Lytechinus pictus: one gene and its partner. The protein of the gene in region 1 purifies or fractionates together with the protein of each later gene. This does not show direct contact. Links are inferred from orthologs where the notes say so. Each region holds a gene or a part of one and is shown on either strand. Other genes may lie near its edges. The genes, in order: ATP-dependent RNA helicase cgh-1-like and Y-box-binding protein 1-like.

What was found.
Region 2: the proteins of ATP-dependent RNA helicase cgh-1-like (region 1) and Y-box-binding protein 1-like purify together in Drosophila melanogaster (affinity purification with western blotting; 3 studies listed by BioGRID, with this or other methods). This does not show direct contact. The link is inferred for Lytechinus pictus from reciprocal best matches to the Drosophila melanogaster genes me31B and yps.

Annotation. Positions count from the first base shown.
Region 1 is NC_087252.1:4,876,476-4,893,348, forward strand, and holds the start of ATP-dependent RNA helicase cgh-1-like, read right to left. Parts: upstream 10,597-16,873; 5' UTR 10,314-10,596; intron 6,373-10,313; 5' UTR 5,731-6,372; coding exon 5,423-5,730; intron 4,303-5,422; coding exon 4,242-4,302; intron 3,714-4,241; coding exon 3,479-3,713; intron 2,098-3,478; coding exon 1,954-2,097; intron 863-1,953; coding exon 768-862; intron 121-767; coding exon 1-120. UniProt on the Drosophila melanogaster protein: ATP-dependent RNA helicase which is a core component of a variety of ribonucleoprotein complexes (RNPs) that play critical roles in translational repression and mRNA decapping during embryogenesis, oogenesis, neurogenesis and neurotransmission.
Region 2 is NC_087258.1:26,261,098-26,277,296, forward strand, and holds the start of Y-box-binding protein 1-like, read right to left. Parts: upstream 6,428-16,199; 5' UTR 6,303-6,427; coding exon 6,242-6,302; intron 2,516-6,241; coding exon 2,452-2,515; intron 1,389-2,451; coding exon 1,355-1,388; intron 548-1,354; coding exon 458-547; intron 1-457.

The DNA of each region.
Region 1 (16,873 bases):
GAAGTCTTTTACTTGGATTGGGAAGGTTGCCGAGTAGAGCATGATTTGTCTGTCTTGTGGAAGATAACTGATGATGTCATCGAGCATGTTCTGGAAGTCTTTAGACAGTAACTTGTCAGCCTAGCATGAGAAATGATGGGAGGCAAAAACCATTACACAGAACATGCAAAAATACAAGGTCACATAAAAAACTAGCCCTGTGTATGTATTTACTCATCAAGTTGCCACCTTTAGATATACTTAATCTTAATGATCTCATTTTTAAAACATCTGGAACTTCCAGTTTAATTCTCAAATTTATTTCAACCTTTCACTAATAATGTTCTTCACACCACAGTTTCCTATGCGAATGGGAAAATGTGCAGGATTCATCCAAATCTTCTCATGGCTAAATACCCTTCTCTCCACAAAATATAGCGAGTTACAAAGACTTTTTATCTCAAGAATTCAACCACTTTCTTATCAATCTCAATTTAAAATTAAATCTCATTGCATGACTGGAAAAAAAACTTTTTATTGGTCCTTTCTTTTGTATGAACTATTTTGATAAGTGAAATTTTAACACGAAACAATGCCTGAAAACAGAATTTTCTGCATCTGTTTTCTCTTACCCAGTCCAGGGGCTTATTTCATGAAACTTATTATAATAAAAAAATTTCAATGACAATTTTAAGCTACTGAAATCATACATTTCAGTTGGCTGATAAACTTGTCATAGAAAGTGTGTATAACAAGTCTTTATGAAATAGGGACCGTGGTTAACATACCTCGTCCAATACCATCACACTGCACTTGTCCATCTTGGCAATGCTTTGCTTCATAAGATCCAGGATACGCCCAGGAGTGGCTATCACAATGTGTACTGGTGAAATAAAAATAAAACATGACATTCATATGATTAGGAACTTACATAAGTGCCTTTAAGGTATTCTAAAGACAGAATTTTAACCCTATCTAGGCCGGGGTATTTTGAGATTTAATATGGCCGGGGGGGGGGGGGGGGGGGGGGGGGGCCTCCCAGGCCCCCCTTGAGATCTCGGCCGTCGACCGCGTGATCGCGCCGAAAATTGGCATGCAGGTTGTCTGGGATATAATCTACAAAATTGTATCGTAATTTATTTCATGCAAATTGTTATTAAGTAATTATGCTAATCTATGCGTAATTCGTATGCAAAATCATACTTTATCCTCTTACTTCATAAATAAAGCTCCAAATGTTCTAAATTTTGGCATAGAAACTCTTTGTGGTGTTCTTAGCAAGTTTACATGAAAAAAATTGTGATATCAGATCAATTTCTTATGTATTATATTGTTTTTTGCAATTTCTTATGTATTTCATTGTTTTTTGGACCCTTTGTTTTTCATTGTTTTTTCAATGAAATTCGTTGGGAACTCTTCTAAGATCATAAACAGCATAAAATACATAGATTTAGACCAGCAAAACAAAAAATAATGATACATTTATGATTTTTGGTTGAAAACACAATTTACATTGACTTTGTACACGAAATCACGTTTTTGAGCAATTTTTGGTCTGACATGCACTTACATAACGTTGCGTAATTTCGGAACCGCGTACCCGGGTGACACAAAATTGGTCTCAAAAGTTGCGCAAGACTTGAAAGTAAAAAGTCAGCGAGCAGCGCGGCCAAAAAAATTTGCGCGGTGAAAATATTGCGCGACTCGTTGAAGGGGGGGGGGGGGCCTCGGAGGCCCCCCCCCCCCCCCCCCGGCCTAGATAGGGTTAAGTATCATATTCAGTATTTTGCTTAGGTAAAATACTTAATCATCTTTGGTATTCAATCACATTTTTTGGCTAAGTATTTTCTTTAAAATTCAGCTGCCCACCTGGAAAAATGATTACGGTCAGTCACATCGACCTTTAAGGTCTTGATAACAACTCCAATTACAGGAAAAAAATAGGGGTAACAAATAGAGGAAGGTTGTACCTACCAGGATCTTCGAGTCTGAGAATGTCGTCTCTGAGACTAGTACCACCCGTTGTGACCATGACATTGTGTCCTGTATGCTTTGATAGCTGCTTACAGATCTGACTGGTCTGGAGAGCCAGCTCTCTCGTTGGTACTAGGACTAAAGCTGTAGGATAGGAACAGATTGAACATATTCTGAAATTAGTAAATGGCGAGTGATAGCTGGATTCAAACTGTGCTTCAAACCCCAGTACCAGCACAAGTACAGGGGCCTGTTTCATAAAGGACTTGCAACTGTTGTAACTGTGCCATTATGGCAACTGCCATGGTAACAGGGCTCAGCAGCCAATCAGAATCAAGGTTGCCATGGTAGCTGCCATAATGGCAAAGTTACAACAGTTGCAAGTCCTTTATGAAACAGGCCCCAGGACATGAAATCACATATTTTAACTAACAGGCGTACATACATTGTATAATCATGCCATCTCATGAACTGTACCCTCTCAATCCTTCATCCGAATATCAGGACTTCCAGTGAAAACAGGACGTACAAGGGGATTACTCTATGCCCACTCTGACACTGATATCACTGACATACACAGTGATCAGCAACACTGGGGCAATCCAGGGGGGTGTTTCACAAAGATTAAGTATGACTTAAGTCGCACTTAAATGCCAATGCGCACATGATATGCAACGCGCAATCTTATTGGACAATACGCAGTAGTGCGCGTCTTCTTGGCATGATCTGACCAATGCTGTCATGCCTTTTATACCGCGCGCAAATAGACATTTAAGTGCGACTCTAAGTCATACTTAAATCTTTGTGAAACACCCCCCAGGTAGGCTTGGTTTCATAAACTAATTATCAGTCAGTTTGACAAGGCATTTATCTACATTTGCCACTTAACTGAATAGATATGTATGCATAGGGATACTTTGAATGATTGACCACCTGATCAGGGAAGCCGTTCTTATGCAGTGCTTAGAAACATTGAACTAAGTGCTACAAAATTATTGCACATTATCACTTTTTTTAAATCATATACTGTTCGAAATCTAAGCTAATGAAATAAGCAAATTCAATTGATCTTTCTCTTTTCAGATCAAACTAACACTGTGAAATATTCCTATGATCAAGATCTATGAATTCATTTAATAATATAAACAACCATAATTTGTATAATACAGCTTTTATATATTTAACTGTGCTTGCTAAGAGCTCTTTTAATTCCATGATTCAAAACAACTTTGTAACTATTAAATACATGCAGAAATGGTTTTAATTTAGATATATGAAGATGGGCATTTCATAGAGATTGTTTGCAAGTTCTCAGCGTCTTTACGTACGACGGGGACCTGTTCTTAGGAGCTATAGGCCGCTACATAGGAATATAATGCTTAGCACGAGAAAGGGTCACCAGTCGAGCGAAGTTAAAAGCTAATGAACTCCTTCCATCTGATTGGCTGATAGTAAATTTGTTACAGATATTTGTTACAAGTCTTTATGAAATGGGACACAGGTCTCCTTGTATTCATCGACTGACCTTGAATGAAATTGTTGTCTGGGTTTGTCTTTTCCAGGAGGGGTATAGTATAAGCACCAGTCTTTCCTGTCCCGTTCTTGGCCCTAGCCATGATGTCCCGTCCGGTCAAGGCGATCGGTATGCTCTCTTCTTGAATCGGCGATGGCTTCTCCCATCCTTTCTCAAAGATGCCCATCAATAGAGGGCGAGAGAGGCAATAATCCTCAAACTCATTTCCTTTGGTATTTGTGACGTCCTGTTGGAGGATACAACACACAGATCAATGGCAATATCAAGAACCTGACATAAAAACGTGTAACAGTCTGATCGCCTGAGACTGTACCTCCGTCATGAATGGAACTTCTTGTATCATGGTAACTAATCAATGACACTTCCTTACAGTGCCCTTGTAAAAACCTTATTAAAAGTAAGCGCTGCCTCTTTCCTGCAAGAAAGCATCTTTCCATCACTATCTTCACATTTAATCAAAGATAAATCAATGGATTTGAAAAAAAAAATTGCTGTGATAAATGCTAAGTGCATTCATCAAGCTCAAGATTCGACGTTTGACTAATGGTAAGGTGCCCTACTACAGTTACATGTGGAAATTATCTATCGAAATTCAATAGACAGACCTCTAATTCGAATTATCTGAACAAAAACGTAAATTGTTTACTCAAAGATATACATGTAAATAAACGTCTTTAAAATTACCCCCCCAAAAAAAAATAATAATAAAATTGAAAATACAAGATAATTTCTCATTTTCAAATCCCATACTTACTGTTGTTCTAATTCTTCTATCCTTTTCTGGGATTGCTAATTTTTCTTTCCAGTCTGGATCACTGTGAAATGAATAATTAGAAAACATGAAACAAAATGAAACACTTCTTCACATAAACGTTTTTATTGAAGATCCAGCATCCTTTGATAAACCGTAGCATAGAAAATACATGAGGGCGACGTGCGATTACAGCCTCATGACAGCCCAAATTGCCCCTAAAATTCCCCCAAAATGCATGCTTTGGGGTGACAATCTATCTTAGAGTCCCCCCAAGATCTGCAATCGCCCCAATGTGGAAAAAAGATAGCCATTAAAAGTAAAAATTATTTCCTACCCTGATAAACTGACTTTGGAATCTTGTAATTAGCTGCAAAAAAAGCTACATTACATGAGTAGGAGGATTACACTTTACATATGGGCAATTCCATAGGTTGGTGGACATGAGCTCAATGTGTCTTTGTACATAAAGCCCATCTGAACCGTAACGTGAGTAACCACTTTATCTGCACCCTAGTAAAAACCATGTGTTCTTTATTTTTTGAATTATATACAAATTTGTCTCCCTTATATACTTTATATATTCTTTGAAATGGATATAATCAACTTTCATAAAAGCCTTGTATGAGGACACTTTTCACTTATGTCCACTTTTCATTTCATTTATGTCCAAATCATCTAACATGAGTAACCGACACATTTCAAAGATTTGCCAGGAGCATAATGAAATTTCCCAAGTTTTGTTTTTATACAAAGGATAGTCAGAGTGCGTACTATGTTGTGATAAGAGATGTTTAGTTCCTATCAATAATAATGGAGTTACAGCTCCAAGTATGAGTCAAGGTGTCTCCAAATGTAACGTGGGTAACCGTGGAATAGCCCATATGTAGGAACAACTTGTAGACCTTCTATGTGAACTTACATCCCCCCCCCCTCGGAAGTGTCGCTAGCGATAGCAATAGCAGCTAAGCACACCATCACTGAAACAACTGGATTTCAGTGGCCAAGTACTTTTGTACGAAATCAAACACAAATTGTTGTGAAATAACAGTTAATTTCCACATATACGCTTCCTTCCCCAAAAGTACAAGTTAGCCAATAAAGCAACAATTAAAAAATGTTTGTTCCGAACACAACGACCATAATTATCCCTGAATGACGAGAGTAGGTGAAACAGTACTTACTCCATGTCTATCGGTGTCGGCTTGGGTACTGGTGCAGCTGCTTTTGGTGCTGGCCTCTCGAAATCCTTTTGTCTTGAATACTGTCTCCCGCCATAGCCCCCGCTTCCCCTGTACCCTCCGTAATGCCCGTCTCTGTGGTAACCTCCTGGGCCGTCTCTGTGATGTGGGCCATTCCTGTCTCCCCGCCCTTGGTGATTTCCTTGGTGACCATCGCCCCTCCTGGAGTCGTTGTTCTGCCCTCTGTTCGGGCTCCTTGCCCCGTGATTGTTGTTCATCATGCGGTTGAGTTGTGGTGGTGCCGTTGCCATGGCAAACAGTGTCTTTTTTCACAGTATTTGTTCTCCCTTTTTGCAAATTCTTCCAAGTTCCACCCTTATCGATGGGTGATTTTAGACTTTCCTTGTATTACGTCTCTTTAATAATCATCAATGAAAATTGCATCAGGTGTCCATACGAACATTTCAGTTAAAGATAAGATAATTCCTGAGATAACTTGTCAGAAATGTAGTAGTACAGGTTCACAAAAAAAGGCAAGTTAGTGCCATTCAACTTTGCCCATACAAAATGGGAAAAAATTATCTTTGGCAAATATACAAATATACATTAATATATAAAACGACCTTTACAAATAATATATTCTGCTATAAACAATGAAGCCTCTCAGAGAGGCGTCACAAGGAATTTGAATTATAAATTCAGATTGTCCGCTTGGTAGGAAGGAATCAAGCAGCAATACAAATGGCTAAGGACCCGCAGAAGTTTTGAACTTCTCGTGCGGAGAGTCTATAAAGGTGATAGATCACTGTTCAAGCTTGCAGCGTTCACTCACATGTGTGTATAGCTCAATGACGTTTGCATAAATCTGGTAGAATCATAAGTTCAAAGGAAAGAATGTAAAGTTGTCCAAACGCTATCCTGACTATCGCAGGAATGCCATCAAACCAGCTTCTCTGTAAAATGAAATAGAGAGAACAGAAACTTTCAATAAACCAAAGGAGGGTTTAGTGAATAAACATCACATGATTAGCATTTAATTTCTACTCTCCAAACCATTATTTCCTGTTCACGAAATTGGACCACCACCTGACATGCTACCAATATAATTGTCTATTTTTAATTGCATTGTTCATTTTCAACTTCAGTCTTGAATTCTGAACTCATATTTAAATTCAACCCTGCTTTAAAGTTGTGGTTTAACTATGGATAGCCAATTGGGGCACAACTCCCTAACAGTACACATTCAATTCATTAAACTTATTTGACACTCAAATTGTCCATTATTGTCTGGGAATGATAACTGAAGTAGTTTGAAGTATAAAGGAAACAAAATAGTAAACATACAAAATATACAATATAAACAGAATTTTTGGCTACTCATAATTTTCGCTGAGTTAGACCGTGGTCTAAATCAAACCTGCCATCAGAATACGAGCATTGAGATGTATTGCCACGTTTCATTTTAACGGCCATGATTTGACATGGCACATCGCACGTTAAAAAGTGAATGTGTGCAAGAGCAGCTGAATTGCGGTGCACGGAGATGCAGCAGCTATTCACTCCCAAAACCCCTTTCGAATGAAGGCAACCCTGAAGAATTGATTACGGTATACATGTGTATTTAGAATCTGTGAATTCAATGCTGTTGACTTATTCTGTAGTTTGTTTGGATTTACAAGGCATCTTGAAGATACAAAAATTGTTTGCAAACTCAGAATCAAACCACTATTTTTATTTTGTTTCTAGCACTTTTTTGCAACCCCATTTCTTAAATTTAAAGGTCAAGTCAACCCCAGAAAAAAGTTGATTTGAATAAATAGAGAAAAATCAAACTACCAAAACGCTGAAAATTTCATCAAAATTGGATGTAAAATAAGAAAGTAATGACATTTTAAAGTTTCGCTTATTTTTCATAAAACAGTGATATGCACAACTCAGTAAAATGCAAATGAGACAGTCAATGATGTCCCTCAGTATTTGTTTTGTTTTTTATTGTTTGAATTATACAATATTTCATTTTTTATAGATTTGACAAGGACCAACTTGACTGAACCATATCGTATTTAATAATGTTAATTCCACATGTTCCGTGAGGAATTAATAGCTGTTTCACTTGACAATGAGAAAATTTGAATATTTCATATAATGAAGTACAAAAGAAATAGTGAGTGGATGACGTCATGAGTCTCCTCATTTACACCAACAAGGATGTGCATACAACTATTTTGTGAAATTAAGCAAAACTTTAAAATGTCATAATTTCTTATTTTACATCTGATTTTGATGAAATTTCGGGCACTTGTTATGTTAGTTGGATTTTTTCTTTTTATTAAAATCAACTTTTTGTTGGGGTGGACTTGTCCTTCAAGCAAGCTGAGCTGAGCTACATACTGTAAGCCACCATGCGCTTTAGAAAAATGACGTAAATTCAGCAATTTTTATGGCATAGAATTTGGCTTTTCACAGCCCAAGAGCAGATTTTGGAGTTGAAACCAAGACTTTCTTGGGGTGTGGCGGTAGAGCACACATGTGAAGTGCGGACAAGTATCTAATTTGCGATTCTGCCATAGGTTTGTGTTGATTGAATGAGCTGGCTCGTGAGACTGAGTTTGGCGGTCGAGTCTCGGTGCACGTTGAATTTGGGGTCGCTTACCTCACATCAGCAAATGATCATCCAGTCTAACTTTGCCAATAAAATTGATCAAATTGAATGAGTAGCGTGCCCTATTCAACATGTGCCACGATACGTATCATTTCACAAGCCAGAAGGCAATCACCACAACCCACACCAAACACATTCACTCACCACAGGAAAGTCACAATATCCCCTTTGAAAACTCATTTCCAGAGGCTTAGCTCAGACTTAAGAAACAGGATCGCAAGGAGATGTGCTAAAAATGAAGCAATCACAGTTAAGTTCCAAGTTTTCTTGCAAATAAACGATCACATCTTCCATATGAAAACTCATAAAAGAAACAAAGATAACGCTAAACTGCATTGAATTTGCACATAAATACGGTCAACATCAATTCCGTCACAACCGTGTTGTTGTGATTGTTGCCTTCATTCGAACAGGCCAGTCATGCCAGGAGCTCCGAGCGTACGCCGTAATCTGAGCGAAAGTCTGCAACTTCCGGATTGAAAATCGCGTGTGGTACAGCACTTATCATCAGCTCTCCAACGCACTGACACGACATATGATCGACTTTAGCACGTGCAATGCAAAAGTCTAACTTTACATTTTGAAGATTTTAGACGAAGCTCAAACAAAAAGTCAAAAGTTTTAAATCAAACTTCATGAACTTAGGCTAGAAGCCTAGAAAAATATAGGCCTAGACCCAAAAGCTTCAGTCTCTGTTATGTTGGCTGTTCCGCTGAACTCCGTTGGCTCCACTCACCAAAATACAGAGGCCAAAGTTCTAGCTCGATCTGTACAGGGACTCAATGGCCATATGTTTGTGTATTAAGGTCGGATAAAACAGGGAAGTGAATTTGCGTGACAGCCGAAGTCACTGTTTTTTCCCCTTTTATATAGGCCTAGGCCCTAACTTCCTAAGTTTATTTTTCCCCGTTTTGGTGCATTTTAGGCCAAAACGGAATTATCTTTATTTTGGTTTGACAGTTCTTTGTATGATTATGAAATAAGGACAAAAATCGATGAGCACTGCCGGGGGGGGGGGGGGGGGGGGATTTCGCATTGTTAACCCCCTAATGGTGGCTGCACGATAGCGAGCCGTCTGTATGACTACGTCTACGAGGTCGAGGAGAAATTTAAAAATATTAGTTTTATTACATGAACAGTAGAGGCGCATGGCCAATATTGGAGACTGTCTCCAATGTGGGAGATTATCTCCAAATATCAGAGACTTTGGTAAAGAATTTGGGTAGGCCTATCCAATTTCAGAGACAGTCTCCAGTTTCTGACAATCTGAGTCCAATTTCCTTTGTTTACATTTGCTGCAAAAGGATTAAATGGCGGCAAATAAAAATGTGATAAGCAGATTCCTCATGAAAAATTACCCCTTTTCACCGTCTACTTTAAAAATTCACCGTCTACTTTTGTTTTGATAAGGATTTTTGTTGTCAATCACACACAAAACAAATGGGCTTCTGACCTCAGTGAGACAAAATTTTGGGTGGAAAAAATCATGCTTTTGTTGGAGTTGTTTCTTTTGTCCTTTTGCAAAGCAAGTCTCCAATGTGGGAGATTGTCTCCCCTAGGCCTAGTATTGGAGTGAGTCTCCCATATTGGCCGTGCGCCTCTACTGATGAAAAATGTTTAAAAACTCCTGTCTCAGAACAGACGGCTGCAGCTAAAAAAATCGTATTATTATTGGCATGCCGTATTATTGACCTATTGAACAAAAATTGAGGCAAATTTCACATCGTGAGAAGAAATTTTAGAATAAAAAATGTTTCAGAAAAAAAAATTGAAAAAATATCTCGCTCTGCCCGGTCTGATCAGGTCACATCAATAAAATTAAAATAAAAAGTCCCAAATTCTCAACATTAACAACAATCTCTACAAGACCTTTAGCAGATCCCGAGAATAAAGATTAATTCCACTTCAACTTCATAGAAGCAAGATGAAGTGTTTTTGTCAGGGAAGGGCACAGCGGGTCCTTTTCCAATCATCCCATTACGTTTCAATCTCATATTTTACAATTTTAGCCTATATTATGACGCTGTATGAACTACCTGGTACGCTACGACCGAATTCTCAAACCCATATTCTCAAACAAAATTATACACTTTGCCAACACTTAAAATGCCCAAAATGTGACATATCAGAATCGTATAAAACACATCATTCGAAAAACATTTCATTCAAAAGTAGCATATTCAGAACAACACAGATTAAGACGGATTTCTAGAGACGGGTTGTTCGACTTACAATACAAGAAGGTTCAAAATGGCCGTCTGTGTATACGCATACGAAATTCTGTCCACAGTGTATTTGCTAGTGCTGCAGTGCAGTACCGTAGACAAAACAGGTACCGGTAGACTGTTTTCTTCTTTTGTGTATGGCATCCGGGCAGCTCGTCCTTTGTCAATTCGCCGGATTATTATTCCCCCCCCCCCCCCCCCCGCTGCAACAGACTGTAAAAGAAGGTTCGAAAATGCCTTATAATCTTTGGGTTGTGTATAAATAATATATATATATGCCTATTGACTTTAAAAAAATTGTTTTTGTTGTTTTTTATATGAAAAAAAGTATAAAAGAAATAATAAAAAAGATTTAGCAAGATCGATGAAAATGAATATAATTATAGGCCCTAATCCCAATTGAAGTTAGGTCCTATAAAATATAGCGCTATACTTTTCCCCGCCCAATATCATACATCAGTCCATGGGTGTCGATCGGTATTCTTGGTTGGGGGGGGATGATGGACACAAATGTTCTTGTGGATGGGGATCTTTCAACATTACCCCCACTAAAATCACAAGTTAGGACATTTGGGAGTGGTGTTCTTGCAGCTAGTGGTGTACCGTGAGTCACGGCATTGGGGCCGGGCACCAGCATAATTTTGAGTCACTTGGTGACTGAGCGCGCAAAGCGCGCTCAGTTGCCAGGTATACTGACCTAATAGGTACATTTTAAAGACAGTGCCATTAAACGGATATGTATCTCACTGCTCAATTAATGCGAGCACGAAGCGCGAGCTGAAAATTTTTGATATGCAGACCAAAAAAGGACATTTTAAGCAAATTTTTGTAATTATACATACCTGTCTCGCTAAACAAACAATGCAAGCGCGAAGTGCGAGCTGAAATTGTTGTAAATATTGACCCCAAACAAGGACATGTTAAGGACTATATTTTAGGAATCCATTAAGAGTATACATATCTCACCATAGTCATCTAATGCGAGTGCAAAGCGCTTAATTGCTGATTTTGCTACATCTAAACACATGAAGCACTTTTTGCAGTCATTGTAATCATGATAATACGCATCTCTCATCAAATATTGCGAGCGCGAAGCGCGAGCTGAAAATTTGGAATATTAAGACCTGAAGAGAGGCATTCTAAGGCCTGTTTGTAAGAATTCACTAAGACCATACGATACGTATTTCACTAAACAAATGATCCGAGCGCGAAGCGCGAGCTGAAATTTTTTGATATTCAGATCAGAAAAAGGGACATTTTTAGGACTGATTTTTAGGAATTCATGAAGAGCAGACATATCTCACCAATCTACTAGTGCGAACGTAAGCACGGACAGGAAATGTTTTATATTAATACCTTAAAATGGGGCAATCACTTTAAGTAGTCATGAAAAAGAACCATATGTCACTACATAAAACAATGATAAGTCGAAGTGCGAGGAAATATATTTGGTGTATATTGACTTTAAACAGACAATGCGAGTACCGGGAACAATGAAGACATCTAGGCCTGAGCAAAATAAAGTTATGAAAAAATGTTTCTTATGTATTATAACATAACATTATTATAATATAACATTATAATAAACAATAATTTCTTCATTCCCACTACGTTTCTCTTCCTTTCTCCTCTTCCCCGTTTTTTTTGCCAGCCGATGGGGGGGGGGGCACGTGCCCCCCATGCCCCCCCCCCCCCCGTAGTTACGCCACTGTAATTTCTCGGAAATTCTTTCATTGTTGCAGTGTACTGTACTTATATAATTTTTTTTTGAAAATTCAATTTGTGTTACAAGTAAGCCTATTCTAAACTCATACGAAAGAAATAATGACAAAAATTGTCTGGACCATGTACAAAGTGATCTGTTTATTGAACATGATGTATACAACTTCTCTCTTAAATCTAACCCGACTGGCAATATCTTTTTTCTTCTTAATGCATGATGATAAAATGCAGATTCGGACAAATTAAGACTAGCACAAATTACAAACTGTGTGGCTTCTCGTGCGCCATCGGGCTTACCGTCATTCCTTAGACGATTTTAACCCTGGATTTTAACATGTTTTAAATGCTTTATAAGTGCATGGAACAAAAACAAACATAAAAACAATCAAAACTCAACTGTCATGTTATGATATTTCTCCAACATTTTCTTGAACCATCAGTGTGTAATATCAGCTAATATATGTTTTAAAATGAAATTTACGTACCGCATGAGTGTGCTCATATAGAATGCAAAACTGTCATCCCTTTCCAAACTCAAAAGAGATTTCTTTTTGCCAAAATAAAGAAAAAATCAATCAAGTTTAGTTATTCAAGTCCATAACAATAACAAGAATATCATGGGAAAAAAAACATCCGATGTTCATATCCGAAGATACGCTTTAGAGAGAAATGAACGATTATTCTATCTGAAACCATTAATTGATTTCATTTTTTAAAAAATTGTAAAAATATGATCATATTACCACTGGTGGGATGGAACACTCTATCAACAAAAGTTGTTTTTCGTCGGGGTCCTTTTATGTCATGTGTTAAAAAATATCATATATACATAAATATTTCATTCTTTTTCATCTTGAACCTCCACCCATCTGTTTAAAAGTCCTAGAAAAGAATGTTTTTATTTAATAACAATATACACGAATTGCGAGGGAAACAAACTGATTGATGGCATACTATAATCATCACTATAATCATCATGATCAAACTTTTCATTTTTTCATCATCATCATTATAATAAATTTTCTACCCTAAATTATTGGGGGGATGATAATACAGACCACCCCCCACTTGAAATATTGGGGGGGATATATCCCCCCCCATCCCCCCCGTGATCGACACCCATGCATCAGTCACTTGAATTTATTAATGTGCTCTGATAAATTCACGCGTTATCGTTTTCCGGAGATATCGATCGTCATATTTTGAAATCAGACACTCGGAATTCAATTAAAGGGATAATCCGTGCTGAAATATCCGTACGAGTCACAAAGCAAAATGCTGAAATTTTTTCATCAAAATCTGAATAGCGAAGATATTGTATTTTAAATATGCACGTCATCATGAATATTGATTAGAGTATGGAGGTCACATCCCCACTTTCCGCAATCAAACAAGAGACTTGATAGGGTTTGGGCCCCGGCATAGAAGCAAAGCTTGTGAAAGGGGCCTATATCATGTATATATGAAACAAACATAATAAAACAAAGTACAAAGGCAGGAAAATTGATGAAAAAAATATTTACAAAAGTACTAAGAGATTAGCTCGCGCTTCGCGCTCGCCTGATTTTCATAATAAAAGAAATGTAGGCCCATGTAGAATGCTCAGATTCTATGCCTACATCTAAAACACGAGCACAATATTGAGATACGCAGCGAAAACGTGCGTGAAATTATCCTGTTTCAGATTAGATTATCAAAAATTTTCTACTCGCGCTTCGTGCTCGCATTATTAACGTAGGAAGATACCCAATTACCCACCTTTTTCATGTTTTATGAAATATGAATAGAGTGTCTCCCTTTTTGGGTTAATTTTTTCCGCTCACGCTTCGCCCCCCCCCCCCCCGGTAGGCGAAAAGGGGGCGCCAAAAAGAAAAAGAAAAGAGAGGGAAAGAACAGGGGAGGAAAAAAGGAGGGAAAGAAAAAAAGAAAAAGAAAAAAAAAACGGAAAGATATATATAGAGAAGGAAAAAAAAAGGAAGAGAGAAGGGGGGGGGGCCGAATTTATGTTATACTTATACTGTCGCCAATCGATGTTCGAGATAGGGGGAGGGGGGGGGGCGCCAAATTGATGTTCAACCGAGGGGCGTCGAATTGATGTTCGACCTATAGGGGCGCCAAATTGATGTTCAACCGAGGGGCGTCGAATTGATGTTCGACCTAGGGGCGCCGAATTGATGTTCAACCGAGGGGCGTCGAATTGATGTTCGACCTATAGGGGCGCCATCAATTATTGTTTAGTAGGGTGACGATCGTGGTCAGATAATGCTTTAATAAAATGTCCAACTTTGGGTCGATAGATCAAAAATTTTCAGCTCGCGCTTCGCGCTCACATAAGCTGTTTTGTTAGATACTCATCCTGTTCATGATTAATAATAATAATAATAGGCAGTTCTTAGAGACGCATAATACCATATAGTCTTTATGCATGTAGAAGAATTGATGAGGCAGATTGTTCCACAATTTTGGTGCCATTATTTTTTCCCCAAAGTTCTATAACCAAAAGTCTCGGACTTTACACTCGTATTTCAGATTACTAAAAAATGCATACTCGAATGTCCAAATTTTAAATCTACAATTTTAGAATATACAAAATTTTCAGCTCGCGCTTCGGCTCACATAATATTGTTTAGATAGATATTCATCCGCTGTTCATGGTCCCAAAAATTTGCTTAGAACGAATCACAAGTTTTGGGTCGGAATATAAAAAAATTTTAGTTCGCGGCTTCGTGCTCGCATCGATTAATTAGATGCCCATCCTATTCATGATTACAGAACAGGGGCCAAAAGCTGGGGTAGGGTGCTGACCATGCAAAAAATCACAATCATATGGTCATTTTTACGTTTTTTGTACACGGTTTTGGAAAAAAGGGGGGCTGAAGCCCCCCTCCCCCCCCCGCTTCCGCGGCCCCTGCAGAAAGTGTTTAGGATGTCCAAATTTTGCAGGTAGAAAATAAAAAAAAAATCAGCTCGCGCTCACATCAATTGCTAATTAGTTAAATGACCATCCTGTTCATGATCACCGAAAGCGCTTATGTCAACATTTTAGGTCAGAATATAATTTTTAGCTAGCGCTCTGCGCTCGCACAATAATTGTTTAAATAGATACCCATCCTGTTCATGGTTACAAAACATGCTTAGAATTTCCAGCTTTGGGTTGGAAAAAATGTCAGCTCGCTCTTCACGCTCGCATAAAATGTTGAGATAGATAAGGTGACGAGTCATCGTTAGATAAAGTGCATAAAAATAATGTCAAACTTTGGGTCGGAATATAAAAAAAAATTAAGATCGCGCTTCGCACTCGCATAAAACTATATAGATACCCACCATGTTCATGATTACCAATAGTGCTTATAGAATGTCAAAATTTTAGGTCAGATTAAAAAATTTTCATCTCGCGCTTCGCGCTCGCATCAATTACTAAGTAAGATGTGGAGCCTCGTGGCCTAGTGGATTAGTCTCCAGACTTTGAAACATAGGGTCGTGGGTTCAAATCCATGCAGCCATGGCGTATTTCCTTCAGCAAAAAAGTCATCCGTGTGCTGCACTCGACCCAGGTGAGGTAATGGGCAGGTATCGTTCTTAACGGCAGATATCGTTCTTTACTCGGTTTACTCAGAACCATTTCTGCCGGATTGCTGCGCTTTGATTTTCTTTTTATTTATTTTCCTATTAAAATATGTTAATAAAAGCCGGGTATAGGTCCTATATAATTTCGAAGGAAATGGGTACAGTGTGCATGCAGATCGAGAATCGATAGCAAGAACAATATGAAATTACACTGTTGAAAATAGTTTAAACAACGCTGTTTGCTGTATGTAAATCGCACAGTAGGCCTATATATACTGTTTAAACATTTTAAACAGGTGTTTAAAATCTTAAACAACAAAGTTTCAATTCAAATATTTAATTATCAATAATTTAAGCATTTTTTATATATGATTATTGTTTAAGATTTTAAAAACTTGTTTAAACTGTTTGAACTACTGTGCGATTCACATAGTGAACAGCGTTGTTTAAAATATTTTTAACAGTGAAGCTCTGAATACGCTGGACTCTTGGAGCACGATCCGCCGTCAGATATTGTTCCTAACCGCATCTGCCTATTATGATAGCACCGGATCCGCCGCTACACCCCGACGACTGTGTATACCACGGGTGCGGATCAGATCGACTGTTATGTTGAATAATACGTGGACGAGCTGTTTAGAATCTATCGGGCATAATAAATGGCAAACACACACACACAGCAACGGTTTGTCGGTATTAATTGTGTGTGTGTGTCCAAAGGCGATTATAGTCTTTGTTCAAAACAAAATAAATAAATAAATGAAGCACTGGCGAATTCGGGGGGGGGGGGGGGGGTGCACAGCCGGCCCGTGTCCCACTTTTGAGAGGCACAATTAAAATTTATAATGTAAAAATGCCGTTAAAACAGAAGTGCCCCCTTTTGACCTTTTGATAGTGAAGACCTTATTTGTCAATTTTTTTCATGGACAAAATCCCTTAATTTTTGGTTTAAGCCTTTTTTTTTTTTTTGGGGGGGGGGGCTTGTCAAATTTTTCCTCAGGAAAATGTGCCCCCCCCCTTTCGAAAATTCCTGGAGTGAAGGTATATATTGTTGATGTTTGATTGTTCCAAAGGTTAAATTTATCCAGGGGCTTCGGAACAGTTTTGAAAGTGGAGGGGGAAGGGGGGGGGGGGGGTCTGACCATGCCCTAAAAATCACATGTCAGATATGGTAATTTTTTAATGTTTTTTAATTTGTACACAGCCCCCGCAGGTTATCATCACACCCCCACACACACAAATATTAAAGGGATGGTCCGGCTGCCAAATATTTATATC
Region 2 (16,199 bases), on another chromosome or scaffold:
TAGTTTGTTACGACTACTGGCATTTATGCCACCGTTCTCATTATACTTTCTAAAAGTAGTTTACTGGAAACCGGTTCAGGAAACCAGTTTGGAAGATTGCTTTACTTTACGTAAAGCGATCTTGTTGCTACGGGAACACTCACAGTGGGGTGACATGTTTTACGCGAACTTTGAAACCGCAGTGTAGACATTCTACAGTGTGCGGAGTAGCGTGCTCAAAATGTGCGAAGATCGCTTGTTTGTGTCTTCACTTACGCTAAAACCAGTTTAACGAGGCAAAGCGATCTTGAAAACTACATCGCAAGGTGGTTTTATGAACCGGTTTGGAAGATAGCTTCCAAGATTGCTTTGAGCATTCTCATTACATGATCAACTAGTTTCCAGTAAACTAGTTTTAGGAAGGTAGTGAGAACGGTGTCTTTGTTGAATTTATAACTGAAGCAGTAATCTCTCTTACCTTGGTTCCTTCTACAACGTCAAACTCTACCACTTCACCATCACCAACACTTCGCTGGTACTTGCGTGGGTTGTTTCTTACAATGGCTGACTGTAAAAACAAACAAGATTCACACGAGACACACAATGCATTAACATATGAGGGAATTGTTCAATTAATATTGTTGTTGTGACTTGTGCTTTGACAAGCCTGTGTTCTGTGCCAGTTCCGATCACCAATTGCTGCCGAGATCTTGTCTAGTTATTGTCGATTTTTAAAAATCCCATTTATAAAAGTAAAGCAGAAACCTTCATATATTTCCTGTTCTTAAAATGAACTTGACAAAATTTATCAGCCTCTCTCATAGAGTTCATGCATCAATGTGCAATAACTGACTGATTGGAAGTTCCAAAGGCTCATTTTAAATGTTAAAGACTGCATTTTATTTCAAATGTACTACAATTTAGAAAACCTCAGATTTTTCTGAATTATTTGCTCAAATCACTCTTTTTTTTAATATTCATATCCTCATCAAATACAAGCTTAGTTCAGGTGGGTGTTTCATAAAGCTGTTCATAAGTTACGAGTGACTTCATGAACGACTGGTGAACCTTTCTTACATGCTACATAATCACCAATGATAATTTAATGGTGAATATCATTTACGAGGAAAAGGATCACCAGCCGTTCTTAAAGTCACTCTTAACTTACGAACAGCTTTCTGGAACAGCCCCCACATCATTGTTGTCTTTCAAAAATATGATAAATAAAAATAGGATTGAGTAGCCATAAAAGAAAAAATAATATCTCAAACCAACTGTTCAAGTAACACAGAGCTGAGCCATAGTGACTGTGAAACTGACCCAATAACACCTCTGTAATTCATTCATTTGTAGATGAAAAGCAGAAAATACTCACTTGATGGACGAATACATCTTCCTTTGTGTCATCTCTGTACAAGAGAGAGAGATAAAAGATAAGACATATGACAAAAAAAAACTATCTTCACTAAATTCAGATCATTTTGGACAGAAATTCAACCTGTAAGGCCCCCATTCCACAGAACGGAGACCATTGAAAGACTTAAAATTGGTGAGGTCTTACAGCGGTCTTCAAGATCACTGAAATTTGTCATCTCTGGGGAATGACTCATAAAGACCCCTCAAAGAACTCTGAAAGACTGATGGATATTTCTTGTCTTACTGGTCTTAGACTTGTCCTATAGAGATCTTTTATGCAACAAGTGATCTTTCAGAATTATTTTCATGGACTTTGCCTGGTCTTTCAGTGATCTTTGAATGATCTTTCAATGATCTCTCATGAGTCTAACAGTGATCTCCACAAAAATCTTGAGAGACTGCCAAAAGGTCATTTAAAGACTATTAAGACCTTTGAAAGTTCATTGAAAGACCACTGAAAGACTGCTGAAAGACCTCTGAAAGACCATTTTCCTGTAAGACCGTTGTAAGACTGTTTTCAACCGTTTACACAAAAAGTTTTGGAGCCCATGAAGACCACGAAGACCACTGAAACTGGTCAGGACTCGTGTAAGACCTCAAAGACCATTGTAGGTTCATTGAGAGACCTCTGAAAGATCAACCAGAATTCATGGTCTTTGAAAGGTCTTTCAGCGGTCTTGTTCTCTGTGAAATGGGGGTTTAACATGGATTTCAGTAGACAAATAACAGTGGTATGCAGTGCCCTCCTTTGTACTCCCCCTCCTCTTATCAAGCAAAAAGAGGCCCCTGATTGGAAGTTTGTAATTCTGTTTAAATTTTATCTGATTCTGAAGTGATGAACTCCTTCTTTGTGGATTTTTATCAGAATTGTGACAAACTCTACAGTGATATATGTTACTAATTTGTCAACCATCCTCCCCCCCCAAAAAAAAAAAAGAATGTTGGTGCCCCCGCCCTTGTATCTTGGATCCAGCCCTTATAAGAAAATTCACATTTAACAAAACTGACATTTACAAGCTTAGCTAAACAATAGATGAATGACAAAGAGAGCCTTACCGATTGATAAATCCATAGCCATTCTTGACGTTGAACCACTTGACTGTTCCGGAAACTTTTGTGGCTAAGACAGAGATAAAGATGTGCAAATAGGGAAATGATTGGTGATTTTTGCAGATCTAGTACTATGACATTTTTGTGAGTAAATGGGTAATTTGGCAGAACTTTAGGGATGGGTAATTGGGCATGGCCAATTTCATGGCAAATTTACCATGATTATAATACAAAACAGGCACAATATTTAGGACCAACATTCGCTCAAGAAAGATACATGGTGTTCCGTGAAACCTACTACACTATGATCAGTTTGTTTCCTTCCCATTCTCTTTTCTCTTTCTCCCTTATTCAAGCTTTATAACTGGGTATGGTGGCGCAGTGGTAGAGCATCTGCCTCATGAACGGGAGGTCGTGGGTTCAATCCCCGGTCGAGTCATACTAAAGACTTCTTCCTTCTTGCTTGGCGCTCAGCATTTAGATTGGAGAAGGGTAATAATAACATGTTATGTTATGCAGGGCCCGCTGGAAGAGAAGTCTTATGATTGAAGTGGCTACCCAGGGTAAATGAAATGTTATTATTATTATTATTAGGCCAAGAAAAAAAGATAGTAGTTGATCGTCCGGGATTTTTGAGAGCAGTGATGAGGTCCTTACTATTTGCTATCGTTCTATTTTTTTTTAAAACAAGGAGACATTTTCTCCGCCCGTTTTTTGACATCAGTGATGAGGGAGGTCCTTACTATTTACTATTTTTTGCTATTTTTTATTCAAATGATTGTCAGGCCATGTCAAGCTCGAATTATGTGATCGATGTATGCTCAATATTAATAAATGAGTAGAAACACACACATATTATATGCATAATATATATATATAGATATATACAATTGATTGGAAATCTATGGAAATGTATATTGCAATAAAAATCTATTGATGTATTACTGATGTATACCGGTACTGTATTGTTGTAAAACAAAATGTTCATGTCAAGTGAATGATTTAAACATTATTCTATATTAATATATATATGTAAGGGTAAAAAATGCATTGAGGGGTTCATTTTATTACCATGGAAGCCTTGTTCAGTTTTCCAGAGCCAATCTCTTTTTCAGCTCTGGGCATGGTTTCGCATCGCAGTTTCCAGCTGCCGTATATTTGTTTACAATATACTGTTTATTAAATTGTTATTCTTTTTTTTTTAATCAAATGTTAAATGATTATTGAATTAATTGTTAATTGTTCACATGTTTATTATTTCAATATTTAGTGTTAGATCTATTTACTAACTAATTTTTACAATTGTCCATCAAATTGAATAGCTCAAGGAAGAATGAAGTTTATCAAATTTGAACAGAATTGGCACTTACTGGAATCCTATTAATGATCTTCAATCTTGATAATGAATAACTCACTTGAAATGGAAATATTTTTTTAATATTCAATGCATTGCCTGCTGACGTTAGAAAACTCGCCAGAAAATTCAATTCATTTCACAAATTCACATGTCGTGCCAGGAGTCAATCACATCACTGCAGCAGACATGCACACCCAGCAGTCAATCACTGCAACCATGCCGCAACACACATCAAAGTACAGGTGCTATCACTCACCAAAAAACCCTGCTGAAATACAAATTAAGTCATTAAAATTGATTTATCTGCGCCTTATTTCCAAAGCACGCGACGGATTAGTTCAGATTCAGGAAGCGGGGTCCCCGAAAATGCACTAAAAATGAAGAAATCTGTGATATTTTCCAAGTTTGCAAACTTTATTTTCTTGCTAATTTATGATTGTTTCTTCAAAATTCCAATAAAAAACCAAATCAGAATTTTTTTTTCTTGCAGTTACGGCTATATCGGACTTTGCAATTGTTTTATGAAGTTGCGAGAGATCCCAGAGCACATAAGAGCAAATCGCTTGCCAATCTTGTGAATTTTTTCGCTATTCAGCAGCCATAAAAATAGTAAATATCAAGAAAATTGATGCTGCAATCAAAAAGGGAAGCCAATTTTTGAAAATAGTAAATAGTAAAAAAATTCATGCGGCGGCCAAAATAGATGCGCGCGAGGACGATCAACTACTTTCTTTTTTTACTTGGCCTTGGTCTAGACGTCTAATTTCCATTTTGGGGCATTAGCCTACTTAATAATACTATCCCCCTTTTCTTATATGTTCTCTCTTTCTCTCTCTTGTAAAGTTATTTATCTCTCTCTCTCTCTTTATTTCAATTTTTATTTTACCTGTCCTTTTTCTTCTACCATATGTATCATGTTATTTCCTATATTAAATTTCTTCTTTTCCTAGAGTAACTCTGCCAGTGTGTGGCTGCATAATGTTTTTTCCAGCCTGTAACTACTACTATGCACAAACTATTTTAATCCATCATATCAGAACTGATGGTACTTCGCTTTGTTATTACAAAAATTAGCCCAAGGCTAACTTTTTTTCTTGGTGGCCCGATCGGTCAAACAAAATCATCAATTTCATAATTTTAATCAAAATCCAATTCAAATATTAGCTATCAAAGTGACGGCAGCGGCATACGCGGCAAGATTGTTTACTATAAAACTGACGAAAATGTGAAGTAGGTCAAGGGGTTTCGCGATCTCAAAATTCTATTCCGATCAACAACTGCGCTGTCAGTGTCACTGCCAGTGCTGGAAATCTGTTAAAAAAAAGAGCAAGTGTGACCTAACTTCGTGGACCAAAGTTTTTGTGGAGATTTAAACAAAAAGCTCAAAACAAAAATTGAGATGTTTATATCATTATCAAACTGACGGCAAAATGCGGTAAGAGTTCCATATGCACCCCCCACTAAAATTGAAAATAAAAACATGGAGAAGGTTCAGAATAATATATCTAGCCCTAGTAATATCGAACATATATGATGGGGAAGTGGAAATACATACCAAAATATGGCTTTATTCCGTCAAATTTCGAGCGAGATCTTGTGCGTGTAATTCATTGTCCAGAGACATCGCTTTATTTAGTCAGTAAAGCCTAAAGCAAAGGGTCTGCGAGTCAAGACTAGTCGACCTATCACCTTATCGGCTTATAATCGTAAAAATACCCTTTCCGGTATCAGCGCTTCTCGCTAGCATAGCGGGAAAGGTCTTGACTGCAGATCAAACGAGGTGAGTTCGAGTCCCAACTAAGGTACATGTAAGCAACAGTAAAAAAATGATACTGATAGAAAAATCTGAAGTGAACGAACCGGAACTTCGGAAGTCTCAACAATCTTTTGTTTTGGTGGGGGGTGCATATGGAACTATTTCCCAAAATGCTATAGTCTTATAGAATCAATCAGTACCACATTAAACTTACATTTTTGATATCTGCTATGATATCTGCTATTCTGCTTGCAAAATGATGATCGTGATACTTGTTGAAATTGAATGTTGAGAATTTTTCAGATTTCTTCTGAACGCCGATTTTTTTTGGTCAATATTTTCATGAATACTGAACTCATCCTAAAGAAACTTACATCAAAGGGTAATATTAGGTAGCTCTTCACGTTAATGTCAGATTTTAAGGATATTGGCTAGTTTTTAAGATAATGACCATCCGCGAAGTTTGGAGTTTGGACTCACCTAGTCTCCGAGATTTGCCACGCCACGCAGGCATGTGCACGTGTGCAATGCCAATAATGGCAATGCACTGCACATGCTATAGCGTGACGCGACTTCGTGTGAAGTGACTGCACGACTAACGACTCCTCATAACAAGCCCAAATTTAACTAATTATTACTCCACATTTCCGTTCACAAAATACAACCAAACTTTATCAACATACCCAGAACGATCTTCTCTGGAGCCTCGTTGGTCTGGGGCTGGTCTTCTTGGCCCTCGGACATTTTCCTGGATGATGTTTTTCTCAGGTCGAAAAATTCCGTCTCATTCGCACAACGGTCTTCTTTGTGCTGATGAGATACCGGAAGAACATCTCAAAGCTAACGCACGTAACCTCGACTGCGGCATTGTGGGAAGAGAAAAGAGACACGCCCAACGAGCGTTTCATCAACATTTTAGTCCTGTCTGACATATTTTCTTGGTTTGGATTGGCTGGAAAGCACTGTTACTATGGTAACTGTCGGATAAAACATCCGACAAGTCCTTTCATCAAACACTCCATCTCTTCCAACATTTTCATCAATAACCTTTTCTCTATTGTTTTATCTTCATGAAGTCACCATAGTAACAATGCTTCTCACTTCTCAGCCCCGGTTCTCAGCCAATCAAAATCAAGGAAAGTTGTCGGATCTGACAACTTGTCTGATAACGCCCCCGCCCCCTAGATATATCTTTCCTTGATTATAAATGGCGGAGTATCATCCGTTTCCCTTACCTGTTTCTCATAGAAGCGGAATTCCATAACTCTTCTATTTTCAAAATTCTGCTTTTCTGTGTTCGGGAGAGGGGGGAGCGGTCGGCCGGGGCATGATGCCCCCGGCCCCAATAAAGGTTAAAAATATCCAATTAATATTTAACATGTCTAAGACAAAAACAAACAATGAATGCAGTTTTCTTTTCTAAATATGTTCAAGTAGTGACTGAAAAAAAAAAATCGTCTCTGCAATGACGCGCATAATATTACTTTACGTACCGTGTGAGTAAAAAAAAAAAAGAACTTGACTCTTCACAAATACCCAATTTAAGGAAAAATATAACATGAGCCCATAATTTCTGAAAGAATATCTTCTCCCGAATTTACTTGATACATGTACCACATTTATGTGGTAGGCCTAGGCCTTTATGCTTGGATGATTATTAGTAGGTCCTAGGTATTCTTTGCAGTGAAATTTTGACTTGCGCCAAAGTATATAAGGCATTAGTCCAGATGTCAATGATGTCATAATCCTACAAGGGTTCTATTAAAACACATTTATGAAGACTACACCTGACAGGATCAAATTCATGGCTTGAGACAGTAAAATGGCAATACTTCTTCCGCCAGTATAAAAATAGTTCCAAAGTGGTGATATATCATCCCAATTTGAGAAAAGCAAGTTCAGTAAAGTTACCCTCCCTAGAATCAGTGTAAGATTATCAATCATATTCATTCATTTTTGTCAATCAGCAATATCAAAATTAAAAATTTAGAATGGGTTTGCTCAAATGAATATCTTTGGCCTGCCAGTTGTAATTACGCCTGTATAACCCTGACTCAGGGGATCAGATCGCTGAGGGCCAGCAATATTTGAAATAAGCTCCCCACACTACTTCTATATGTCAAAGTGCAATGCCGCAGAAAATTGCAAAAGGTGAATACAGATTTAAGAAAGGAAGGGATGGATAGCACGAAAGAAGAAGAGTAGAGAAAAAGTAAAGGAGAGCAAGGGAGAGAGGAGAAAAAGGCAAAAAATAGAAATGAAAAAACACAATTGGTAAATGTTAGACTGCCATATAAAAAATAAAATCATAGATTTAAGAAGAAAACAGATAGCTCTTAAAGAATGCATGAAAGGCAAAGTAAAACTCTTCGTCAGTCTGTGGCATGTGTGAGAAAGAGAAATCAAAATACAATTGGTTATAACTAATGAAGATCTTATAAGATGGATAAAATTTAAAAAAAAATATTGTTATGCCCAACTTTATAATTGATTAGAATATCCTACCCAATTAAGTGTAAAATCTTGGATGGTGTCATTATTATTATTATCTTATTTATTTATTTATGTATTTTTTTGTTGGGGGGGTTAGGTTTTAAATTTTCCAATCGCTAAGACACCCTGTGCATCCAACCAATTGCTTTCAGAACAAAGTCAATTAGTTATAAACGCCTAGTAGATCAAATGGTTTTTGTAAAATGCCTGGTAGACCAAATGGCTGTGGACCAAATGCCTACTTAGACCAATTAGTTACGGACCAAACGCCAAGTAAAAAGACCAAATGCTTGTGGACCAAACGCCTAGTAGACCGAATGGTCGTGGACTAAACGCCTAGTATACCAAATACTTGTGGACCAAACGCCTAGTAGACCAGTGGTTTTGTAACAACGTCTAGTAGACCAAATGCTTATGGACCAAACACCTAGTAGACCAAATGCTTGTGGATCAATCGCCTAGTAGACTAAATGGTTGTGGACCAAACGCCTATTAGACCAAATAGTTTTGTAACAACGCCTAGTAGACCAAATGGTTGTGGACCAAACGCCTAGTAGACCAAATGGTTTTGTAACAAATGCCTAGTAGACCAAATGGTTGTGGACCAAACGCCTAGTAGACCAAATGGTTTTGTAACAAATGCCTAGTAGACCAATTGGTTATGGACCAAACGCCTAGTAGACCAAATGGTTTTGGACAAAATGGATAGTAAACCAAGTGGTTGTAGACCATGAAGTTGAGAGTCCTGCGCAGCCTGTCCAATATTATAATAGTTTACCAACCGTGCAGATATACCTTTCTGCCTGGTTAAATTATCACAATTTCCCTCTGTATATCTAACAACAGGGTGTATCTGCAGATACACCCCGTTTGCCTGATAAAATAAACATATTATCTGCCATCATTTAATCTGGCAAAAAGGTCTATGTGCAGATAGACCCTTTTGCCAGATTACAGCCAATTTTTATAGGGTCTATGTGCAGATAGACCCTTTTGCCAGATAAATATCACTGTCTTTGCTCCCGAGATTAATCTGGCAAAAGGGTCTATCTGCATTAAATTGGATCTTACAAGAAAAGTAAAGGGATTAAAATAATAAAAAGGGACTAAAAATAATTTTTCAAAGATAAACTAAGTGATAGAATAGAGTCCACCAGCTAAAATTAACTCTCAAGTATTCTACAAGTAAATTAAATGCTCAAACTTCAAAGCTGATTATCTCAGAAAGTTTTTCGAGGGCGAATGAGCAGATAGACCCTTTTGCCAGATTAGGGCCGCGCTCTTCGCGTATGTAATTCAGTTACGATTTTAGTCATTCGCAGTGAATTTTAACTAGAACTATGTTTATAATTAATTCCCAATAAAATTGTTGTTATAATTATTCTCTATAACCGCGACTTTTATACTCTATTTCTTACACAAATTAAGTCCCTAAAGTAGCAATTTTTCTTCTTAAAGACAATACTGTATATATAATTTCATATCAATAAAATACAAAACAATAAGTGGGGAAAAAGATGTGTAATAATTTTGTAGAAACTTGTCCGATTTTGACATGTTTGACATTTTCAGAGAGTGTCTCGTTTCTGTCCTGTTCAAAAGCGGCCCCGGAACAAAAGAGGTTAATAGTGATTAATCGCAAATTTGAAAGAACAATTCTGATTGGTTCCTATAGTCAGTCTTACTGAGCAAAATACACATGCAAAATGGTCTTGAAATCTTGATATAGGCCATGATACGTGCGAGAGGGTTATTCTCCCTTGAACCCCCCCCCCCCCCCCCGTTTAGTCGCTTTCAATATTGGTTGAAAGATGGAGTGCAAAGTCGCAATCCAGCGATCCAGAGTGCTGAAGCACTATATCCACGTTCTGACCAGAGAAATTAAAGGGATCTTTCAGGCTGGAGATATTTCTATCTCAATAGAGTAAACTTCACGAAGCAAAATGCTGAAAATTTGATCAAAATCGGATAACAAATAACAAAGTTATTGAATCTTAAAGATTTGCATTATTCCGGTGAAACAGTTCTAGGCATGTCGTCATGAATATTCATTAGGTGCATGGGCTGATGATGTCATATCCCCACTTGTTCTTTTGTATTTTATTATATGAAATTAGGTTTATTCAAAAATTGTCTACCAAGAGCTAAAACAATTGGATTGACAACTGATTAAGTGTATTAGTTATTTATTGCCACAACTTACTTCATCATAACGGAGACACATTATTAACACATGTATGAAAAAAATGAAACATTTATGATTTCATGTAATAACATAAGAAAAAGGAAAGTGGGGATGTGACATCATTAGCCCACCCAATGAATATTCATGACGATGTGCATATAACTGTTTTCACAAAATATTTATAAACATTAAAATTCAATAACTTTGTTATTTGTTATCCGATTTTGATGAAAGAAGTTTCAGCATTTTGCTTTGTGAATTTTACTCTATTTATTTATATATAAATATTTTCAGCCCGGACAATCCCTTTAATATTCCATTTTATTATTCGCTCCGTCTCTAGCAAAAAAAAGAAAATATTATTTCTGTGGCAGTTTGACCAAGTGCTGGATTACAAAGAGGAATATTCGGAAGAGATGGTAATTTGAATTCTAACCCTTATGGGGGGGGGGTGATGGGGAATATATTCCCCCATTGATTTAGGTATATATAGGGTGGCCTGTGTTATCATTCCCGCCCCCCCCCCCATTTATAATTTACGGTCGAACATCATGACAAGCAAGGGCGGAAATCTGTCTCGAAAGGTAGGGGGGGACCAGGGGCTGGAAAATTTGACAAGCAAAAAAAAAAAAAGGTTACCACCCAATAAGTAAGGTCATTTCGTCCAAAATACATGTTTTATTTCAATTTCTTTCTTTCCATCGTAATTAAACCGAAAATAGTAGGGGGGACATTTGATATTGTGTCCCCCCTACTATTTTGGGTAGGGGGGACACGTCCCCCCTGTCCCCCCTGGGATTTCCGCCCATGATGACAAGTATGATCATGATGATAAGGAGGGGGGAAAATGATCATGATGATGGTATGTATTGATTTCTAAGCCTGATGACCATCGTGTTTTTACCGGACTTTGTTAACATTCCTTTCAAAATTGTTAGAAACAGATGGATTGAGAAAAATTAATAGAAAATTGAACACGCGATAAAAATTATATGTTATGATCAGTGGCGCGATGAGCCGAAAATTTTGAGAGGGCCAGAAAAGAAAAAACAGTTGCGAGGGAGAGAAGAGAGTGAGCAAAAATTGAGACATTTTTAACTACAAAACTCAAATTTTGTGATAGAATTTGACATTATATTCATAAATTAATAATTATTTCACTCTTCACTCTTTCCTTTTCCTTACTTTTCTCTTTTTTTGGGCAGTAAAAATTTGGGGGAATCCATGGCACCCCAATCTGTACGTCAAGGAATATGATATTTTAACGGCCAGTCATCTTGCTGCTCAAATCTTAATTTCTTGCTGAGTTACTGTATAGCAGCGAAGGAGGAAAATTGAAATTTCGAGATTTTCTGGGTTTCGCAAATTCGAGGCAATAGGCCCTATTTTGTGTTCATCCCTCGAAAATCAGAATCAGGGGCCGCGGAACGGTTTTGAAAATCAGGAGTAGAAGGGCTGACCATGGAAGAATAAAAACCCCAAAAGGTGCACTGTTCATATAAAACTGTAAAAAAAAAAAACAGTAATTATTACTGGCAGCTGGGACTCACAAACAGTATGAACTGTTAAAAACTGGATAACTGTTAACAAACCCCACAATTTTAACATTCATTTAACACGAAAATTGCCGTTAATTTACAAATACGACGATGGATGCACTGCAATCAGTGGCGTACCTGGAATTTTTCACAGGGGGGGCAAAACCGTCCGCCAAAAAATTTGACAAGCAAAAAAAAAAAAAGAAAAAAGAAAGGTCTTCAATCACAAATGAAGGATTTCGTACCAGAAAAAAATTTGACAAGCAAAAAAAAAAAGGTCTTCAATCACAAATGAAGGATTTCGTACCAGAAAAAAAACCACACACACAAAAAAAGGTCTTCAATCACAAATGAAGGATTTCGTACCAGAAAAAAAATTGACAAGCAAAAAAAAAAAAAAAAAAAAAAAGGGTCTTCCAGCTCGTCAGGGGGGCAATAAAGGCCTTCAAGCTCGTCAGGGGGGGGGGGCAGGGATACGTCCTTTGCATGGGTTGTGGCTCGTCAGGGGGGGGCAGACTGCCCCCTCTGCCCCCCCCCCCCCCCCGTAGGTACGCTAGTGACTGCAATCAACGTAAAAACGCGATATTAGTATAGTTCGTTGGTATTTTTACAAATTATAATTATTTTACTTTGTTTTACATTTTACTTATTCAGGGCCCTGGGACCGATTTTTTGGCTGGGGGTGCTGAAGTAGGCCTAAATTCAGGGGCGGATACAGCTTTCGCCAATAAGGGGGGGGGGCGAAAAACAATTCACCCATATTTTCCCCGATCAGCCACTCAAAGATGATTTCTGTTTGTTTCTTCGTAACAGTCACTAATTTGCTTTGTTCTTATAAAACAAGGTAATCTAATAAGCCATATTTAAAAAGTGCGAGCTATTTCTTTTGGAAATTTCATGTATCTTGTCCTGAAAATCGAACATTCTGGGCAAATTTTGTGATCATGAACAAAATCCGTATATAACTGATCGAAGAGAGACTTGTTGAGGACTGTTTTAGTTAGCCATAAAGCGATACATATTCAATAATCAAATAAAGCGAGCGCTAAGCGCGAGCTGAAAATTTATGAAATTCCGACCTAAAAATAATGTAAATTTTAAGCATATTTTATAATCATGCGCAGGATAGGATATAAATAAACAATGCGAGCGCGAAGCTTGAGCGGGGGAAAAATGTGATTTATACCTAAAATGGGTCACTCTATTTATGTTTTGTAAATCATGAAAAGAGTGGGTAATTGGGTATCCTAAATCAATAATGTGAGCACTTTTTGAAAATCAATTTATAAATCAAACAAAATAATGAAAGCTCGATGTTGGAGCTAAAATGTGTTTTGTATATTGACTTCAAACTTGATATGTGAAGCTCCGTATCACTTTATCAGCCTATTGAGGAAGAATCTCATGTAGGCCTATCTCATCAAACATGCAATGCGAACGCGAAGCGCAAGCGAAAACTTTATAGTGACTTGAAAGGTTTTTTATTTCATTAAATCGTCCCCTCACCTTATTTTTATTCACTCTTCTTCATCCTCTAATTTTCTCCTCTCTTTTCCCTTCTTTCCTTTTTTTTTAATGCCTTCCCCCTTTTTGTTTTGCTCCGCCAATAGGGAGTCCCGGGCCCCTTAGGCCCATGGATCCGCCTATGTAAATTTGACAAGCAAAACAGGTTTCACTAAACAATGAAGGTTGTTTTGTTGCCAACAAATTTGATAAGCCAAAAAAAAAATGGTTTCAACACAAGATGTTGGTCATTTTCCATACATTTCTCCCATGTGACACACCAACCAGAATTCCAGGGGGTGCTGCCTATGGAAAATAATACACGCAGCACCCCCTGGGAAAATCTTGGGGGTGCCTCAGCACCCCCGCTTCCCAGGTCCATGAACTTATTTACTTTCTACGTTACATATTACTGCATAATTACGTTTGGTTTGTTAAATCATTGTGTCGTCTGTTTTTAAAAGGTATACAAAAATCCTATAAATTTACGATTTTTTTGTAAAATTACTAGTAGGCCCTATTGGAAATAGCACAATAATGCAAATTAAAGAAAAAATATTGCAGAAAGGAAAGATTTTGAATGATGCAACATTCAAAATTTGAAACTAAATTCATAAATAGATATTCATCAGATTGTTATGAAATTAATAAAACGTGTGATTTTAGATCTCCTATAAACGGATTGTAAATTGTAAAGTGTGTGGGAAATATTGCTGCCCTTATACTTGCATCTGTGTTTCATTATAACGGTATTGATTTGGTCGGTCATCAGTAACTCATCGTGCACTTAACTTGAAGTATAGAGTATATCTGTATACATGGTACATGTATATTTTTTGTACAAATTATCCCCGGCCGCTTCCACAAAGATACAAGGAGAGTAATTACACCCCCCCCCCCCACACACACACACATATGCATTCACGCCAATGTATTCAAAGGATGTTTTGATTGGTGATCAACCATTTAAAGGTCATTAATTTTGTATCATACAATTCATACATGGACGAACCATACTCTCAGGATGCATGCTGGGATACCGTTTGCAATATCAATATATGCTATTTAACGTAGGGATTTGTCATGGCCAAATTCTGGAAAGATTAGAATGAGCGCGGGAATCGAGCGACCGCACGAGAAATTGGGCAAATTAAGCATTTCGATCGCATTTTAAGATGAATCCACGCATTAACAATGTAATCATTGATGATTGAAAAAATATCGTTTCTGTCTATAAAAGTGGGTGGAATGATTGTACATGCCACCTCCCCCCTCTCCGAAGAGTGGGGGATACCCCCCCCCCCATGAGCCCCCCCCCCCCCCGGATTTACGCCCGTGATATCCAGCTATAGCCAAGCGCCATGACAATTGGCATGATTGGGGACCCGTATACCCCGTATTGGACATGTGATCCGACTCTGTTTGATAATTTTTTTTCAAATAACCTTTCCTTTGGAGGCCCCCAGCTGTATAGGCCTGTCTATACTTTGTAGCTGGAGTGCGGTGTTATCAAAACAAAACAACTACAAACATGACAAAAGCAAACATTTAATTCTTCACCTGAAACACTAAAATAGCTCCCAACCGCGTAGCTAGGCCTATAGCCAGGATTTAATTTTGGAGGTGGCGGTAAGTGCACGCGAAGGGCGCTCCCTGGGGGGGGGGGGTGCAGGGAGGGGGAGCGAAGTTTTAGATATCTCATCAAATCTAAATCAAAAGAAAAGCGCGAACTTTTAGATATCTCATCAAATTTGAATCAAAAGAAGACGTCTCTTGCGTTTCTAATACCCTCATCAACGGAATTCAATTGTCTTGCTGTGATTAAAGGACAAGTCCACCCCATCAAATTTGAATAAAAAGAGAAAAATCCAACAAGCACAACACTGAAAATTTCATCAAAACCGGATGTAAAATAAGAAAGTTATGATATTTTAAAGTTTTGCACACCCCAGTCGGTATGCAAATGAGGGCACTGATGACATCACTCACTCACTATTTCTTTTGTATTTTATTGTATGAAATATTCAAATTTTCTCCTCTTTGTCATGTGAAATAAAGTTTTATTTCGCCCTGAACATGTGGAATTACCCATTGTCTAGCACTTTACGGTTCAGTCAAGTTGGTCCTTATCGTCAAATCTGTAAAAATTGAAATATTCAATAATTCAAACAATAAAAACAAAAGAAATAGTGAGTGAGTGACATCATCGATTCTCTTATTTGCATGTAACATAAAATAATGTGCATATAACTATTTTGTGAAAAATAAGTAAAACTTTAGAATGTCATAACTTTCTTAATAATATTTTTACATCCGATAAATTTTCAGCATTATGCTTGCCGCATTTTTATTGATTCAAATCAACATTTTTCTGAGGTGGACTTACCTTTAAAAACAAAACCTGTTTTCAAAAGAAAAGATGACCGCCCAAAAAATGGGAAACGATTGAGGAATTCAAAATAATTCCTCTTACCGCGCGAAGCGCGAAAGCTAGGACGTTTTATTTATTAAAAAAAATGAGAACAGAAGTGGTATAAAATGCCTACCTTCACATCAGATTTGATTGTAAAAACTTTAGCCACATTAAATTTCTTTAATTTGCAAAACTGTGTAGAAAGCGGGTTTATGCAAGGAGGTTACAGCCCGATAGACCGCGGGTCCGATAGACCGCGGGTCCGATAGTCCGCGGGTCCGATAGACCGCGGGTCCGATAGACCGCGGGTCCGATAGACCGCGGGTCCGATAGACCGCGGGTCCGATAGTCCGCGGGTCCGATAGACCGCGGGTCCGATAGTCCGCGGGTCCGATAGTCCGCGGTGTGTGTAAAATTATGATAAGAATATAGTGAGATCCAATGTCATCAAGAGGTCAAACGGTCAATGATACGAGTCCATGGGGTTCTATAACGATGACCGAATGGAC